4 linked regions of the Arabidopsis thaliana genome follow. The protein of the gene in region 1 interacts with the protein of each later gene in a pairwise test. Each region holds a gene or a part of one and is shown on either strand. Other genes may lie near its edges. The genes, in order: PUB14, MPK18, SAUR9 and AT4G05400.

Region 1 (5,216 bases):
TCATTGGAGGTGTAACATTTGCTGAAATCTCTGCTTTACGGTATCTCGCCTCTAAGGTATATATCAAACTTCAAAAGTTTACCATAAAAAAAACACTCTTTTTGTCCGCTGAATCCTCCATTCTTGCTTCTGCATAAAATTTTATCAGGAAGGAATGGCTTATGATTTGATTGTTGCCACAACAAAAATCGTCAACGGCGCAACGTTGATAGAAACATTCATGGAAAAACTAGGCTGATCCGTAAACTGAGCGTTATGTTCATCTTTTCTCTTTCGAGTGTGTTTATTAATTCATTTTTTGTATGTCTTTGTTTATTTTTCTGGATCATTGTGGTTGCAGAGTGAATGGTATGCGTATGTGTATGTGTATATTAAATGGTTGAGATACAGCGTGATTATACAAATTCAATAATGTTTTCTTGGTACAACCTTTCACTTCAACTTCTGCTAGTTATATACGGCTTTACTTCTCCCTAATTCTCAAGCAAATCGAGAGTGTGAAACAGTAAATAATAGGGTTACTTTTACTTTTAAATATCAAATAGATATACACAACTCTGAGTCGAAAATTACATATAACATCATTACATAAGATTCTTATGTCAGACTCAAACCAAAGGTTCCTATACATATAATCTACACTGAAACAAATAACATTCCAAAAGAGCGAGGCTTTCATGGAACAGTAGTTACTGCAACACCTTCGGTTTGCTGAATAAGCTCCAACAAGCTCGCAGCTTTCCTCTTTGCTCTATCAGTGCCATTCTCAGTAAGTTCCTTCAAGGCCACATCTGCACCAACCTCTCTTGCTACATTTAGCCTTTCTATATTCCCAATACATAGATACCAAAGTATTGCTGCAGCATTTTCCCGGTTCCTTGGTGACCCTGTCCTTATAATCTCAACCAAAACCGGGATAGATTCTGCTTCAGCTATCGCTGTTTTCCCTTCTTGGTTAGTTGAAAGAATTGCTAAAATGGCCAGAGCCTCATCCACCATTCCGCCACCTGCATCTTTCAGTAATCTGGTCAGAGGGTCAACAATACCGCCTTTAACCGCCCTTGATTTGTTCCCCTGGTATATGCATAAGTTGAAAATCGCTGTAGCAGCATCTTTTTTGCCTCTTCGGGTTCCTTCCTCAAGCAAGCTTATAAGTGCTTGGATAGCTCCAGCAGCACCTATTGCCACTTTGTTTTCATCTATAACAGATAAACTGAAAAGGGTTGCAGCAGCGTTCTCTCTAGCTTCCATGCTTCCGTTCTTTAGGACTTCTACTATATCCGTTATGGCTCCTGCATCAACAATGGCTCCTTTGTTCCCTTCATTTATGGAAAGATTCAGAAGAGCTGTCACAGAATGTTCCTGAGTCCGAGGATCTGGTGAGGATAGAAGCTCTACAAGGAGTGGTATGGCTCCAGCCTCAGCGATACAAACTCTGTTATCCACGTTCCTCTTGGCTAGTAACCTTAATTCTCCAGCTGCAGCTCTTTGCTGTTCTGTAGTACCGTTGGCCAATTTCTCTAACAAGGAAAGGACAAATGTTCGATCACAATCTGAAGAGCTGCTTCCTCCTATTTTTGTGGTTCTACAGCTCCCTTGATTTTGCGGTAGCTCAATGCCGTTGCTTTCACACCACAAAGCAATGAGACTCTTTAACACATAATTAGGGGTTAATCCAGCATGTAAAAGTGTCTCCTGAGATTTCGGACATGTTTTATGACCAGCATCAAGCCACTTCTGAATTGATGATCTTTCATATGTCTGCAAGGTCGAAAAATTCAGCTATAACAACAAATACACAAGTTTAATAATCAAATTCACTACAATGCACAACGAAACTTGCAAAGCCAGACCTGTCCAGTGGAGACGATAACAGGATCCTTCATCAGTTCAAGTGATATCGGACACCGAAAATACTCTGGTATAACAGGAGAACGATGTCTCGAAACGATTCTGCTGCCAGTGGATGGATCAGGGTCTGAACTTTCCATTGTTACAAAGTCTACCAGGTTTTTAAGAAGTGAAGACATCCTCTCGAAACAGTCATCAGGATCTCCATCATATGAAAGAAAATACTCATGTATCGCATGCGATTCTTTCTTCAGCTCATCAATGGTAGTAAGTTGGAGCTCTTGTGAAAGTCTTTTGAGGATTATAGGGTCAGGATCCATCACATTCTCTGCCATAGCTAGATCATGGCTAAGCTGTAGATCAGACTCCTCCCATCTTTCTTTTGCTCTCTTGAACTGAAAATGCAGAAGCTGAACCTACAAATTCAGAGAGCTTATCATTAGAATTCAGATTTTAATCAACAGAAAAATATAGCCCTCCTTAAATCAATGCATTGAGAAGTACCTGTTCTCTGACTTCCTCTGATACCTCAATCTTCTCATAAGGAATCTGACTTAACGCTGCTTCTATCTCCACTGTCATGTCACGGAACTTCTCCACAAGAGAATCTCTATCGAAAAGCTGCCAGCAGAGAGAACACGAAAAAGGTCTCAACTTCTTGTTATCAGACTCAATTTGATTCATCCCAAAATAAGAGAAACAAGACAAAACCCAAATTCTTGATATTGTTAAAGAAGACAAAGACAAACAACAAAACCCTAAACACCAAAATCTTAAACCCTCGAAGAGAAAACAAAGGAAATTGCCAACTTTTGCCAGCTACCAAAGATATAAATACAAATAAAACAGAGCAAGTAAATGAGTAACCTGAAAAAGCTTGCTTCCTCCATTAACCGATCGAAAAAGCTCAAGACTTGAATCAAGAGCGATTCTCATAGCCTCAAACCCTGTAATCTGATCCTTTTTCAATTCAACATTGACGTCAATCAATTCCTCGAAGAAAGGGCTGAGAAGCGTGATCCTACGAACAAGATCGCCTTGGATCTTCCCAATAAAACCCCTTGAAGATGAAAACCCTGATATTTCTTTAACGGAGTCAACGAGTCGACTCATTAGCTCCTCGTGGGAACAACAATTCGTTAATCCCATCCCTCAGATTTTACTGTTCCAGAGGGCTTCAAAAGGGTTTTAACGAAACCAAGACGAGGAAGAAGAAACCCAAAAAACCAAGAGGAGGAACAGAAATGCTATGGAACGAAATAGTCTTCTCATCAACGTGACAATAAACACCTATTTGGACATGAAAAGTCTCATTTTGTCCATTTTCAGACCAATCATAATTTTTTCTATTTTATTTTGCCGTTAAATTTTAATATTTAAACATTGCATTTAGATTTTCATATTTATTTATTGCCTCAACTATAAATTTATGATATTAAGGTTGACCAATACAAATATATAAAGTTTTTAAGTTTGTATTTGCATCTGAAATCATCAAAAGTCAAATCCTTTGTATAATGGATTTCTCTACCTGTTTGTTAGTCTCTTTGAAATTGTCAAATAATTTCTTGATTTAGGTTTTGTTAGAATTGGCTGCAATAGTCTCTCCCACAAACTATACATGCATTGAATCATTTGAATGAAGCTTTACTCTTCTCTACTTCTGATGAATCCCACTAAAATATGTACTGATGATCCATTGCTTGATATAACTTGGGTTTCCACTTTTGAGGTTCGTAATATCCCCAGTTTCAAACTCAAATCTTCACATTATACAACACACTTGACTTAACAGATAGAGAAATATTGTTTTGAAACATTACATTAAAAAGTATGGAAAGATTAGTAGTCTGAAGACATGGCTGAAGATGAGATGATTCAACACTCCAATCATGACGAAGGAGCAGGACGAGGTAGCCTCTTGCCAATTTCCTATCAGACATGTGTACACTACAACAAGTTAAAATCTCATATACTTCGTATTAATCCATCTTTCTGCATCCAAAACTATTATCCTCCACAAACTACAAGAAATTAAATCTCATATCTAGCTGCATATCACTGCCTATCACTTTTCCATCCTCCAATTCCAAAGCAATGAAAGAAACGGATAATAAGATCTCAATAAATGCAGAGGACAAGAAAATCGATCATAAATCAGAGGCAAGAAAGAAGTGCACACCTCAAACAGTTGATTTATGTTATCGGCTGTCTTGGCTGACGTCTCAATGAAGAACATGCCGTTCTTCTCTGCAAGCTCCATTCCATCCTGTTAAGAAATTGAAAATGTGATACCACTGAAGAAGCAAGGACAATGAAAGTGACAACAAAATGCGCTACGGAATCTAGATGAAGACGTTTACGCAAACTCACCTCAGTAGGTACTTCTCTTTTTTCATGTAGATCAGCTTTGTTACCAACCAGAGCCATAACAATATCTGGGCTTCCATGCTTTTGCAGTTCCTGTTAGATTTATGGGCAGGGGTAAAACAATAGCACTAGATTCAATATAATGTTGATATCTTTCCTGCACGGAGTTGTGCCAAATGGCTTCATGGTAGCAACGAGTGCAAATTAATGGAACAAAAATGTCAGAGAAGTAAACCAGTTGCCCAACTAAATGATACCCATTATATACACAGACAGGAGTGCTGTTGGCTATATGACTGTCTGTAACTCTAATTTTCAGTCCTGGTAAAGATATAGCTCGGAAGCTATTGCACGAATCCTAGAAACATGAACGAAATGGAACCTTTTGAACCCCCTGAAAACATACCTTAACCCAATACTGTGCTTTCTTGAACGATTCAGGGCTTGTTATATCATACACAATAACAGCAACTCCAGCTCCACGGTAGTATAGTGGTGCAAGAGCAGAATACCTAAAAATAAAGTGAATGCAGGTTAAATCCTAGTAAGTTTGCAAAGCGTTTATCTAATAAAATAAGCAATACAAATCTGCATGAAGGGTTTAATACCTCTCCTGTCCTGCTGTATCCCATATTTCAAACTTCACTGTGGTAGAGTCTTGCAATGCTATAGTTTGGGACAAGAACGAGGCTCCAACAGTTACCTGATACATAGCTAGTAGTCTTGAGATCTAGTGGCAGATAAGTATACTCTAATAGTCTAATATTCACTCACATCAGAGCATGGTGTTCTAAAAAGGTGTCAGATGGTCAATAAAGACAATTAGATAACAAGGCTTTACTTACCTTAGATGTAGCGTCAAACTGACCACGTACAAATCGAAGGACAATACAACTTTTACCAACACCAGAGTCTCCTAATAGAACTAACTGCAATCAAGTGAATCCAAAAGTTAGTGGTATGTCTTACGCAAAGTTGAAACCAATTATACCACA
Region 2 (6,406 bases), on another chromosome or scaffold:
AATGAAATTATGTTGTTTTGGCCAAGTTGATCAAAGTGAGTCCTTTTCTTGGTGTGTGCCCTTTACCACATGCAACTTCTTCTCTCACTGGACCACATTTACACATTATATTTTGGTTTATTATTAGGATGCATTGTCTTTTATTCATCAACATTATTATATTTGCACTAATAATATAGAGTTGTTGGCAACCAAAAGTTAAGAAAACAATAATATATAGTTGTGCACAAATTATCATTATTTATGGGTGATCCCTTTTTTCTTCTATCATTATATATGGTTCATGGAATTTTAATAAGATGTAACTCAAATAAATAAACAAACAAAATAAATCTGCTTGGTGGAGATATTTTGGCTCCTCCAGTCAAAACTCTAAAACATACATACACGAAAAGCATGATTCATGTGATGAATGGTAATATTGTGTCCACTCTGTTGAATTCTGACTCATGATTATATATATATATATATATATCTTCGAATTATTAAACTTGCAATTCAAAATATTATATATATCATTTTGAAAAACCATTAAAACTATTTTAAAAATAGATATGCTGGTTATATATATTATGCAGAGCCTGGTCTAAATAGATAGAACCAGTCAACCATCATTTATATTTATCTTTGGCCGATAATTATTTTAAAATGCGCACTTAGTCAAAAGAGAGTAAAATTATGATTTTAAAACCGAAAGTAGAAGAAAATGAAAAGCAATGAAATATGCAAAAAGGATCAACTTTAGTTATAAGTTATAACGCCTTAAAATATTGACAATAAATTGACACATGCACCACCTACATCGTCGTATAGTGTGAAATTATATGGAGTATGATAATTTGAAATTATGATATTTTGTACTTTAGATAATGAACCAACTTTGGATTTGAATGCCTCAGATACAAATGAATAATAAGATGTTGGATTTGTTTTAATCAAGATCAGTTATAATATTATCATAATCTTCACCTTTTTGTGGATTTGCCCCTATTGTGATAAACTTTTAATATGAGCCAGACACTAAATATGTTGGTCTTTTCAATAAATACAAAAGCCAAATTGTGTAAATTGACATGTGAATATTAGTTTCACACGAATTGCAAAATTATTAATCTATTTATTTTATTTTATTTTCTATCAAATACTAAGTCATATACCAATGAGGATGGCAGTTTTTTTTTTTCTTTTGATTTTGTTTTTATCATCCCATAGTATCAAGCAAACAACTTGACACTTGGAAGGTCTTTTTCTCAAGGTTAGTTGATTTACATGGAATAAATGTTCATCAAAGATGGTATTTTATCCTAATATATTAATCGTGTATCGTCTTTACCAAAATAAATTAAAATCTAAGACAAATATCCTTCAACAATATTTATTTACATATGAATTAGTCAATTGTATATAGATTTTTCAATCTTAAAAATTTAAATCAAGGAATATAATAAGCAAAATTGAGATAATGTTAATAATATTCCTTTCAGTGGTACGAGAAATACTATCACGTGGGGGTTAAATTGACCACTTATCAAAAAGAATGGTTAGAATCAAAACAAAATTAAGATAGGGGTCAAAATCGGAATTTAAGAAAAATAAAACGGTCCAAGTCCAGCAACAGGTGTCTAAACCATTGGGTCATTTTCCAAAAAGGTCGTCCACAGACCACAGTGGGAGAAAACCAATATTTACTTTACCCTCAAATGTTGTCTAAAACTACGAAACTGCCACTATCTGGGATTTGTCACACCCGTACGCAATAAGTACCACGAGAAATTGCTAGAATTAGAAATTATTTTTATTCAAATTTAGAAAAAATATCTCAAATTCGGTATTTTTAAAATCCTCTCTCGTCTTCTTCTTCTTCGATCGCTGGATCTAGGTTTTGCTCTTCTCTGTATCGTCTTCTTCACAGACTGGGCTTGATTTTGAGTTCTTCTAGTTTTCGGATTCTTAGCAATCTAGGTTTTTTTTTTTTTTTTACTTTTCGAAAAGCCGATCCAGATTTTTGATAATTTTGAAGAAGAAGATGCAACAAAATCAAGTGAAGAAGGTTCGCTTCTTGCTCTCTATCTCTCTCAATCATGCTTTGATTCTAAATGTGGGAAACAGAGGATAAAGTCTTATCCTTTTACAAATTTAAAGACAAAAAAAATAAAATCTTTCCTTTTTCAATTGCAATTAGGTTTGGTTTTGTTGCATGAGCATAAATAAGATGTGTGGATAAAGTTTGTGTTTTGTCTACTTTTGTGATTCACTAGGGCACGAAAGAGATGGAGTTTTTCACAGAGTATGGTGATGCAAACAGATATAGGATTCTGGAAGTTATTGGTAAAGGAAGCTATGGAGTTGTGTGTGCAGCTATTGATACACATACTGGAGAGAAAGTTGCTATTAAGAAGATTAATGATGTCTTTGAACATATTTCTGATGCGCTTCGTATTCTCCGTGAAGTGAAGCTTCTTCGGCTTTTACGGCATCCTGATATTGTGGAGATCAAAAGCATTATGCTGCCTCCTTCTAAGAGAGAGTTTAAAGATATCTATGTTGTGTTTGAGCTCATGGAATCAGATCTTCATCAAGTTATTAAAGCTAATGATGATTTGACTCGTGAACACCACCAGTTTTTCCTTTATCAGATGCTTCGTGCTTTAAAGTTCATGCATACAGGTGTGATTCGTTTCATTGTTTCAGACCTGTGAATCTTGGCAGCATGTTTTGTATTTTTTCTGGTTGTAACTTACTGTTATCCTTTTGTTCATGCAGCTAATGTTTATCACCGTGATCTTAAGCCAAAGAATATACTTGCAAACGCAAATTGCAAGTTGAAAGTTTGTGACTTTGGATTGGCTAGAGTAGCGTTTAATGATACTCCTACGACAGTCTTTTGGACGGTTAGTAGCCTCGAGGAGGAGACCTTTTGTTTGTTAGCCGTTAATTTGTGTGTTTGATTTTTCTCTCTGACTCATTTAATCGCAATGCAGGACTATGTTGCCACAAGATGGTATAGAGCACCTGAGCTCTGTGGATCATTCTTTTCGAAGGTAGGTGTTACTGTGGATTTCTTCTATGCATTCTAATTGGCTATGCTTAGGTCTTATGAACAGATTAGTCTTCTTTAGTGTAGAATATATGCAGATTAGTGTTAATAGCTGATATTTGATGTTACTTGTATAAGTATAGAGTTGTGCCCCAGTGGGATATTAAAATAATTCTTGTTCAGGGATGACTTGAACTCTCCCCGAAGTTGAAAATCTATGAATCAGGTAACCTTGTATCAGGTTATGTTCATTGAGTGGTTTCTTTTGCATCTGCAACTTCATATTCATGGATTTTGTTTTTTCATCATAATCTGATTTACAGTCAAAATTATTCTGCAGTACACTCCAGCTATCGACGTTTGGAGCATTGGCTGCATCTTTGCAGAGGTACTAACAGGGAAGCCATTGTTTCCGGGAAAAAGTGTTGTCCATCAGTTGGAGTTGATTACTGATCTTCTTGGCACACCAAAATCAGAAACAATTTCTGGAGTATGATCCGTTTTTCTTCTTCACATTAATTTCTGGAGTACGTATATATATTGAACTGTATAGCTAAACATTTATTTCTCTGATGCAGGTTCGTAATGATAAAGCTAGAAAATACTTGACTGAAATGAGGAAGAAAAATCCTGTCACCTTCTCGCAAAAATTTTCCAAAGCAGATCCATTAGCACTCCGTCTTTTGCAGAGGCTGTTGGCTTTCGATCCAAAGGATCGACCGACTCCTGCAGAGGTCTCTTTTCTGTCTTTTTCACTTTGTAATTAGATTCTTCTTCGGTCCTCTTTGTAAAGCTGCCTTGCGTCTTGTGTGTATCTCTCTGCTTACTTTGCTATCTTTTTGTTTTTCGATAGGCATTAGCTGATCCTTACTTCAAGGGTCTTTCTAAGATTGAAAGAGAACCTTCAAGTCAGCAAATCTCGAAAATGGAGTTTGAATTTGAGAGGCGAAGGTTGACAAAGGACGACATTAGAGAACTAATATACAGAGAAATACTGGAGTACCATCCTCAGTTGCTCAAGGACTATATGAGCGGATCTGAGGGGTCTAATTTTGTATATCCTAGGTTTGAATTTCTTCCTACCTTTTATTATTATTTACCAAATGAAACATTTCTTGTTTCTTTCTCCCGTTGAATTTATGTCCAATCGCGTACCTCTGCCTGGCTTTTTATTCATGTTTTTACTTTTTCACTTGCAGCGCCATTGGACATCTTAGACAGCAGTTCACTTACTTAGAGGAAAATAGCAGTAGAAATGGGCCGGTCATACCTCTCGAGAGGAAACACGCATCACTACCGCGGTATGTTTTCTCATTCTTTATATACAAGTCGACTGTAGGGAATATGCTTATTCTTTTGTTCTTTCTTCTGCTACTGCTTAGCATTTGTGAAGCATATGGTCGAAGGCCTCAAGCAAACTTTCATATGTTCTCTACTCTTCTAATTCTAAAAACTTTCATATGTTCTCTACTCTTCTAATTCTAATAGATATGATTGTTTTCCACAGGTCTACGGTTCACTCAACTGTAGTCCATTCCACCTCGCAACCCAACTTGGGTGCAACAGATAGTAGACGTGTTTCTTTCGAGCCTTCAAAAAATGGAGCTTCTTCTGCAGGACATCCATCAACTTCCGCGTATCCTACTAAATCCATCGGACCTCCACCAAGAGTTCCACCATCAGGTCTCAATCATATCTCCAAATATTATTTCCTAAAGTTAGAAACTTCAACTAACTTTCACCCTATGTTTTACAGGTAGACCAGGTCGTGTTGTGGAATCATCTGTATCTTATGAGAATGGCAGGAACCTCAAAGAAGCTTATTTCAGAAGCGCGGTTTCATCTCCTCATTGCTACTTCCGACCAAACACCATGACAAACCCGGAGAACCGCAACATAGAAGCTTCGTCTTTTCCACCAAAGCCACAAAATCCTGTCCACCAATTCAGTCCCACTGAGCCACCAGCTGCTACAACTAACCAAGCAGACGTTGAGACTATGAACCACCCAAACCCTTACTTTCAACCACAGCTCCCGAAGACAGATCAATTAAACAACAACACACATATGGCCATTGATGCTAAGCTGTTGCAGGCACAATCACAGTTTGGTCCAGCAGGAGCTGCAGCGGTTGCAGTAGCAGCACACCGGAACATAGGCACAATTAGTTACAGCGCAGCATCATAGACAACACTTCAGACAGATCTTTAACCACCACATCTTCCTCCACCAGGTGATTCTCTAGTTTTTATGTAAGTATTATTCAGTCCAGGCTCTGATATGAACTACGTTGCAATGATATAAGAAAGACTTTTATTTAGTTGTAACTCTCCAGAACAAGATCGCCTTGGATTAGTCTGATTGCGGGTCAGTCCCGGTTATTGTTTCGGTTATCTTGTTGGCTCCATAATCTTTGAATTTGCCATAAGCGTAGTTCACCGTAGAGAAGAATATCGTGGTGATTATATACTTCTTAAACTTCTTAATCGGTCCCATTAGTCTTTATTGTTCTTCAACAAAAAAAGGAATCTCTTTGGTTATTGGAAAATATGGTCTTGATTGGTTAATATAGACAACATTATGCCGAAGAATGTGGAAGTAACAAAATAAAACATTGGTCCTTAGATTTTTCTTCTGTAAACCACTCTTTCTCAGATTATATAATTAGTCAATTTTATTCAATGGTTACAAAAAGAAAAAAAAAAACTTGCCAATGAAAAAAAGGAATGCTCTTGACCTCAAGACTCATCATGGTTAACAATGAAATTCGCCTTAACTTCGAAATTTTGACGCCGTTGAAATGTTTATAATTTACCCGCCAAGTTTGTAGGCCTGAGTTTAGCCCATTAAAGGTAATATTAGGCGTCCATTAATCATAACGAATATCACTTTCTCAATTTAACAAGTCATGAGAAAGTGTACACATTTGATCTATTTAATATTTATTAACCAAAAAGGAAGCAAATCAATTATTTCGTTACGTGACGGTGGCATTAAGCATCTTGCATTGAATGATCCGTTATATATAATCTCAGGTTTTTTTTGGGTTGAAATGATGATATTAAATTTTAGGTTGACATGTACTTATCTTTGTAATCAACTAATTAAATATTTGAACTGACATGTCTACGTTATATCATAAATAAACCAGGTGTTTTAATTAAATACCACGATTAACCTTCTAAAATAAGGAAAATCATATTTTATTCGTCAATCACTATAATTTGGAAAACGATGCAATATATTTATTTCTTTCTTTATACACATACTTAATTAATTATCAAAATTTCATTCTATTTTAATTGATCTGAAATGTCCTAATTTAGTAGAGAGCTAATAAATAGACTCACATTTATGTTGAAAAACAAA
Region 3 (3,209 bases), on another chromosome or scaffold:
TTATTATATATCGACACAAATCTTGAAGGCGGCCTTACCAAATTAAAATGAGTTTTTGATATAGTAAAACAAAAACGAGGCAATTGGAACAAATGATAAATCATGAAAACGAAACGACGAAAAAGCAATTATTGTTATCAATAAGAACCCCACTCAAACAGAAATTACTGTAGACTTTGGATCATACTTATCGACTTATCGTCTTCTCATGACGATTAGTTTTTTTCCTTCTTCTTACGATTAAAGTCTACAGATCGAAATATAAATAGTTTTCATTACGCTTTGCTCAGATGAAGTAGAAACAAGATTGCAACTACAAATATCAGATGAAGTAGAAACAAGATTGCAACTACAAATGGTAAATCGTTGATGTTTGGCCAGTTATGGTTGATACTGGATAGACCGTGAATGTTTTTTTTATAATATTTTTTAATATGTTGTATTTAGTTTTTATTTTATTGAAACCAAATTTATTTGCTAATCAATCATTATTTTGTAACACTAGTTAAGTTAACTTATGAAGGTTTTATAGAAGATAATAATTAACAACAGTTTTAGAATGAAAATTCTTGAATAAAAAATTAATACAAATAAAACTAGCTATTCCTCTCAAGAACCAACGGTCAACAATACACGTTGACTTGAGGGAAAAGTCTTCCATCCAAACTAATATACAAAATATTTGAAAATAAAATATATAAAAGAAGGCACCGAAAATATATAGAAGGAAAAAAAAATCCCAAAAGAGTGGTTAATTAAAAAAAACTGTTAGGTATATTAATATAGCCACAAATCTTGAGTCGATACTTAACGCGATCCCCGCCATTTGCTTCCGTCTTCTTAGCAAAGAAAAAAAAAACCTAAATAATAGATTGCATATATTCCTTATTTCTTGTTTCTTGGTAATAACTTTGAGGATTTGATCTTCCGAGTCTGGAGTGTGACAATGTGATCAAACTCTTACTTCCTTAAAAGGGGAATATTTCTTGAGAGAATGACCAGTTGAGCTAATGAAGACCAGTCCTCGATATCGAGTATTATCTGAACATTGAGATGAGAGAACGAAAGACGACTTCATCACAAGGGATAGTGAGACCCATCTCGTGCTCGAAACCAAACTCTTCCTCGGCTAGTTGGAGGAGTGACTGGAACTCATGATGATCTAGCCACGAGATTGGGACCACATAGCGACTTCGGTGTTGACCGACGTAGACCGGGAAGTGACCTTTTGGCACGTCGTTGAAGTAGCAATTACCTTGATTCTTCTTTCCTAGACTTGAGCACCTCTTCAAGATTTGCTTTAGAGATGCTGCTTGAGACAACGCCGCTTTGTTCGACTTCTTTATCGCCATGATTTGACCTTATTGAAATCTAACTTGGCTAGAGAGAAGAGGGAAGAGGGAGAGAGAGTTTGGTATGTTTGAAGAAAGGTGTGGATGTGAAGGTGGTGGGGAGGAATATGGAGGGGTATTTAAGGGCACAATGAGAGAGAAAATTTTGGAAGTGTTTATTAAATTTAATAAGAAAAATCTCATATATGCTTTTAACATAGATTTATTAGGTTTACTTATGACTTTTTGGATGATTTGTGACTAGGTTATATGTATTATATACACAACAACGACTAATTCATGCAGAACCACATGAAGTGTTTCCTTGGTGATCAAATCAAAGCCGCGTAAGTACGTAACATATGACATCAAATATAATTATTAAATTTCATAAATGTCCAAACACTTGTTTTTATTCGTACATTATCTTATATGATCTCTTCAAAATTTGAACATTTTCCTTTTATCACAAGACATAAAAATACAACGTCCAACTATTTTCAAGGGTTATTGTTTTTTCTTACAAGGCCAAATTGTTATATTATGGCCTAGATAGAGTAGCCAAATGGTCTAAGTTTTTTTTTTTTTTTTTTTGCATCAATGAAGAATTAAACTCAGGACTATCTAAAGATATAACAATGCTCCCAAATTTTCCTATACCACTATATCAATCCATCAAAATATTCTTTTTTATATATGTAATGTGAAAGCAAATATCATGTGGGATGTAGGAAACAAAGCAGTTTTAGAGACAAGCCATAAGGGAAAGGCCAAAAATATGTAAAAGAATGCATACAATAAAATTTTTGGAGGGTCTTATAAATAAGGTAGGGACTATATAAACACTACCCTACATTGTCTCTATTTTGTGTTTTTATTTAGACACAACTCTACAAATTAATACAAGTAGTGTCTGTTTTCTCTACACTTGTTATAAACTCTTCTTCAGAATTTGTCTCTACTGAAACTTCCAATTTTATTACAACTAATATATGAATAAATAACCAAAAAATACCATATGGCCGTTAATAGATTTAGATACCCGTTTTGTCATAAATTGAGTCCGTTTACAAAAGGATTACGGACGAAGTATAGAGATATATAAACCAAAGTACGTACTTGCAACTACAAGATCACATGTCTTTTGCTACAAGTAGAGTTGCCAACACTTTAATGCCCATTCTTTTATTTTATTTTTTGTCTATAAATTAAGATGTACAAAATAACACCAAATGATTAATGTAGTTTGGTAGTTTTATATTTTCTTGGTTAACCAAATTCATTGAGAGGATATACGGGTTATTACGAGGTTCATATGACATTATATTTTATATCTACTGACCAAGCGGAACTTAACATTATGTTGGTCACCGACAAAAATACAGTATATATAATAAGTGCCATGCGGAAAAATCAGCGGAATTTGAGAACGTTAATTGTATATCTACAAACATTTTGGGGTCATTTCAAAATTCAGTCAAAGAGTTAGAACTTACAAACCATTAATATCATTTACGGAAGATTAAAATATGAAAATTTGATGGGTTAACTAATTTGGTAACTAAAAATATAATGATCTAAATAGTTTATCGGAAATATGTTTATAAAAACATATGGGAAAAGATGTAGCTAAGCAAACTTCGTCCCCATGTGAAAATCTGAAAACGAAAACAAATGCTTAGGTTGGAACCTATCTTTTGTTTAATTGACAGTATCAAATCCATGCAAGTTCCCATTTCATTCCTCCGACGCCTTGTGTTCCACGTACTTTTTTCCATTTATATATTCAACTTCTTATTTTTCGTTCCTTTTTTTGCTTTTTGCCTATCATTTTAATGGTGATGAATCAATCAACATCATCAAACATTTTCATCTTTG
Region 4 (3,992 bases), on another chromosome or scaffold:
GCCTTGTTTGATCTTACAGACTGGATTTGTCAACTCTTTGGCTTTTGCAAAATCGGGTAAATTTCTGATTGCCGGTGTTGGACAGGTATGTGATCATCTCTTATGTTCTCTTCCCTCTTCTTTTTTTCTATCTTTGTCCTCTTGTCTGTGTGATTGCTAATCTCAAAACTGATCGTGTTTTGTGAAATCGACATGGCAGGAAACTCGATTTGGAAGATGGGGATGCTTAAAATCTGCGCAAAATGGTGTCGCAATACATCCCTTAAGACTGGCATAAGTATTTCATTGGGATAAATGAAGCGTTGTTATGGATAGTTTTGAGTTGCTAAAAAGCCAAAGATCTAATCGCAAGTCATATAGGGATTACATTTCCTTGTAGCTCTTGAAGTTTTTGCTCCCTTTTTTGTTTGTTCCTTGTACCATTTTTTCTTAATACGAGAGATAAGAACTTATCATTTTGAGGCTCTGAAGAATCAAAGAGGATAACAGTTCCCAATTTTTTCATTCTCTCAGTAAAGCTTTTTGTTTCGTTTTCCCAAATGTTGAAGATAAGTATATGAAAAGGCAAATTATTAAACCAAGATCCATAGTGAACACAGACTTGATCGTAATTTATCCGGCGAAAAGAAGATTGCTTTTCCAAACAAAAAAGACAAGAGCCTACTACTTGAATGAATTCTCTTAAGTCAAGCTTAGAATCCCTAGAGACAATTTCTTGATGTCTCTTGGTCTCGTTGCTGCTCCATTCTGACTAATAGCTTCAACTGGATAAGAAAAACCAGCAGAGAATTGATAAGAAAGTTCCAAATATCCAAAACATACATAGAATACCACAAAATGAAGACTTGAAACAAGAAAAATGCAAACAGCATTGAAAGAATAACTAAACAAGAACATATCCTGCAAAAAAAACGAAAATGATACATAATAATCCAAAGACTCGAGCCTATATGCAGAGAAGTTCCAGAGGAAGGTCATGCTTCCAAAAGTTTCCATTTTAACATTGCAAACACTAACTCATGTACAAGTGAGTGATTCTCATTCACTTATTTGCTAATATGCATATAACTCGATCTCAAACTAACCAATAAGTATCATACTACCTGAAATCTAGCTAACCATCAGTTTTGAGATATTTTCTACAACAAAGTAAACCCAAGAACACAGCTTTGACATCAGAGATCAATACTACCAACCATCAATCCTAAACCCTGAATCATTCCATTGTTCGAAAAACAAACTGTTAAATCTCATATCCAAATCAGAAACAAGAGAAAACGATAAGCATAAGACAAAAATCTCTAACCTTTATTGACTCATCTCAACTTCTCTTTATTTCAGACACTTTCTACAACAAAGTAAACCCAAGACTCAGTAAACTACTAACCATCATTCTTAAATCCTGAATCATTCCATTGTTCGAAACACAAGCATTCAAAGCTCATCTCCAAAGCAAAAGCAAGAGATAAGACAAAATCTCTAACCTTTTAAACGAAATCATCTCAACTTCTCTTTACTTGAACTCTTCTTAGCTGCATCCATAACCTTCTCAAGATACCCTTCAATAGGCGGTGTAAGAGTAGCCATACCTCGATTCGCCGGAAACGGTGTCAAATCAGGCTCTAACGCCGCCTTCTTCAGATTCTCCGGCAATGCCTCAATAGCAGATTTCTTCAAATTCAAAAGCGCAGTTTCAGCTGCACGACGCTCTCTATGCTCTCTCATCAACACTTTACTATACTCCTTCGCAAGTCTCTCTCCATCTTCTTCCGTAAGCTTATACTTAGGCAATTCCTCAGCTTCAAAAATCCCTAACGAAATGTAATCCAAACCTGGCGTCCCAATTCGCATCGGCTCATCGGTGACTCCCATTGAAGCAGCTCCTCCTTTCTTCTGGATCTCCATATCTCGTTGCTTCTCTTTACTAATCAAACCTAGCTTCTCACGTTGCGCCTCACGCTCGATCTCTTGGGGGGTCAAGTAGCGAACAGGACAAGGAGCGTTTAAGCATTGCTCGTAGAGTTTCTGCTTCTCATCGGAAATTCTACCTTTTCCTTTAACTGCTTCCTCTCCTTCAACAGGTGCTCCGCCGCCGCCACCACCTTTCTTGATGGAGAGTTTGTTACGCTTCAATGGCTGACCTGTCTTCAGCTTTGCTTTTCCTTTAGGAGTTCCACTTGCGGAGCATCTTTGGATAAGATGGTAACTCAGTGATTCGATGATCGCTTTTGGTTTCGTAACTCGAATCATGCTTCTGATTCACCTGAGTTTCTGATTGCTTTCGTCTGAAAATGTTGCTTGAGTACAGAGATTAGGGTTTTCGACTCTCGACTGTGGAAGAAGAACACTGAACTAACGACGTCGTTTTACATCAAGTTAAATAAATCACGATGTCACAAAACTGTAAATTCAGCTTAAACCGAGGGTTTTCTTGTCTTTTAGAAAACTCCAATTTGGTTTCTTGGTTCGGTTTTCCATTTCTTTGTATACCGAATGAGAACCGACGTTAATTTTGAATTGATTTGGTTCAATTCGATTTAATTTTTGGTTATTGTTTCGGCTTACCACCACATAACCGAAGCTTCTTTCTGAAAACAAATTCGATTTTACTTTTCCAGAACTGAGAAGAAATTTGCTGAATTCAGTCTCATGCAACTTGTTAAATTTCTCACTATTAACAACGAATTTGGCTTTGGAAACTGTAACCTCCAAGTACCAAATACAAGTAAAATACAAAGAACGTGGTGAAAAGTAAAGAAGATCCAACACAGACAAAAAGCAATTTGTCCACTAAGATCTCTCGAGAGCCAAAAAAAAGTTGAGAAATTTGCAGTCAGTATGGGCTGCTCTGTTGTTGTCTCTTCTGGGCCTTGAAAGGATCTTCTTCTTCCCCTCACCTTCTTACTATAAACCCAGAATCATCCTCTGTTTCTTTTGTTCCTCAAATCATTTTTTTCCTCTCGATTGTGAGATCAATTATTAATATTCATCTGGAGAATTATCGTCTCTTTTCTCCATTGCTATGGCTCTCTCAACTACTCCTTCTCAGGTTTTCATTTTTACCATTCTAAACCTTTTTGGTTCCTGAGATTAAGTTTCGGATTTAATGAAAGTTTGGTTTTTGATTTTAGATGTCCGTTGCACTTCCAACTAGAATTGATGGGTCGAGCCGATCTATGATTAAGGTGAGCAAAAACGATCTAGATCACTAGATTACCGATCTTTGTCGTTGAGATGATTACATGGTCCTCAAAGTTTTTGTCTTTTGGTTTTCTTATTGTGTTGTTTAGTTCTGATGTAGACTTGTTGTGAATTTGGTATTGAAAGGTATAGTCTTTACAAGTAGAAGATTACAAAAAACTGGATTTTGCAACTCTTGAGCAATGATATTGAATCTCAATTATTTTGTACCTCAGGTTCAAAGTATAAGCTTCACTGATAAGTCATGGGGTCCTCCTCTGCTGAGACTAGATTCGAAATCTAGAAGCTTAGGTGTGAAAAAAAGGTCCACAATATGCATGTCACTTCAGCAATCAAGCAAATCCAAAGTCTTGGTTACTCCTCTAGAACTTGAAGATCCCAAAGAGACTCCCTTAAACTTGTTTAGGCCTAAGGAGCCTTATACTGCAACTATTGTTTCGGTTGAGAGAATTGTTGGTCCACAAGCACCTGGAGAGACTTGCCACATTGTTATTGATCATGATGGTAATGTTCCTTACTGGGAAGGACAAAGCTATGGAGTCATTCCTCCTGTAAGTGATTTTAACTCTATTGCTCATAACGCATTGCCTTTTGCTGATAAATGATTTGGTCTCTCAGATTTGGTAACATATCTGATTATATGTGCTCTATTCTTGACTCGTAGGGTGAGAATCCCAAGAAACCTGGTGCACCTCATAACGTTCGCCTTTATTCGATTGCATCAACACGGTATGGAGATTCTTTTGATGGCAAAACAGCTAGTCTATGTGTCCGTCGAGCTATTTACTATG

What was found.
Region 2: the proteins of PUB14 (region 1) and MPK18 interact in a two-hybrid assay, tested with the Arabidopsis thaliana proteins (one large-scale study listed by BioGRID).
Region 3: the proteins of PUB14 (region 1) and SAUR9 interact in a two-hybrid assay, tested with the Arabidopsis thaliana proteins (one large-scale study listed by BioGRID).
Region 4: the proteins of PUB14 (region 1) and AT4G05400 interact in a two-hybrid assay, tested with the Arabidopsis thaliana proteins (one large-scale study listed by BioGRID).

Annotation. Positions count from the first base shown.
Region 1 is NC_003074.8:20,319,308-20,324,523, reverse strand, and holds PUB14 (plant U-box 14), read right to left. Parts: upstream 3,172-5,216; 5' UTR 3,001-3,171; coding exon 2,719-3,000; intron 2,473-2,718; coding exon 2,356-2,472; intron 2,268-2,355; coding exon 1,854-2,267; intron 1,762-1,853; coding exon 676-1,761; 3' UTR 504-675; downstream 1-503. Other genes in the region: ATVPS33 (Sec1/munc18-like (SM) proteins superfamily), read left to right, coding at 1-56, 149-238; ARA6 (Ras-related small GTP-binding family protein), read right to left, coding at 3,742-3,783, 4,034-4,120, 4,225-4,314, 4,628-4,733, 4,830-4,924, 5,067-5,150. UniProt on the Arabidopsis thaliana protein: Functions as an E3 ubiquitin ligase with specific E2 ubiquitin-conjugating enzymes. Undergoes auto-ubiquitination.
Region 2 is NC_003070.9:19,969,779-19,976,184, reverse strand, and holds MPK18 (mitogen-activated protein kinase 18), read left to right. Parts: upstream 1-1,791; 5' UTR 1,792-2,026; coding exon 2,027-2,050; intron 2,051-2,258; coding exon 2,259-2,667; intron 2,668-2,763; coding exon 2,764-2,891; intron 2,892-2,981; coding exon 2,982-3,041; intron 3,042-3,377; coding exon 3,378-3,527; intron 3,528-3,615; coding exon 3,616-3,771; intron 3,772-3,890; coding exon 3,891-4,102; intron 4,103-4,236; coding exon 4,237-4,338; intron 4,339-4,544; coding exon 4,545-4,720; intron 4,721-4,793; coding exon 4,794-5,224; 3' UTR 5,225-5,851; downstream 5,852-6,406. UniProt on the Arabidopsis thaliana protein: Mitogen-activated protein kinase (MAPK) that is specifically regulated by PHS1 and MAPKKK20 and mediates signaling that regulates cortical microtubule functions, maybe through regulation of microtubule dynamic instability.
Region 3 is NC_003075.7:17,088,174-17,091,382, reverse strand, and holds SAUR9 (SAUR-like auxin-responsive protein family), read right to left. Parts: upstream 1,450-3,209; 5' UTR 1,353-1,449; coding exon 1,038-1,352; 3' UTR 510-1,037; downstream 1-509. UniProt on the Arabidopsis thaliana protein: Provide a mechanistic link between auxin and plasma membrane H(+)-ATPases (PM H(+)-ATPases, e.g.
Region 4 is NC_003075.7:2,739,514-2,743,505, reverse strand, and holds AT4G05400 (copper ion binding protein), read right to left. Parts: upstream 2,347-3,992; 5' UTR 2,251-2,346; coding exon 1,498-2,250; 3' UTR 1,485-1,497; intron 1,349-1,484; 3' UTR 1,307-1,348; intron 1,161-1,306; exon of another isoform or gene 765-1,160; 3' UTR 557-764; downstream 1-556. Other genes in the region: YAO (Transducin/WD40 repeat-like superfamily protein), read left to right, coding at 20-85, 200-277; RFNR1 (root FNR 1), read left to right, coding at 3,023-3,049, 3,132-3,185, 3,417-3,752, 3,866-3,992.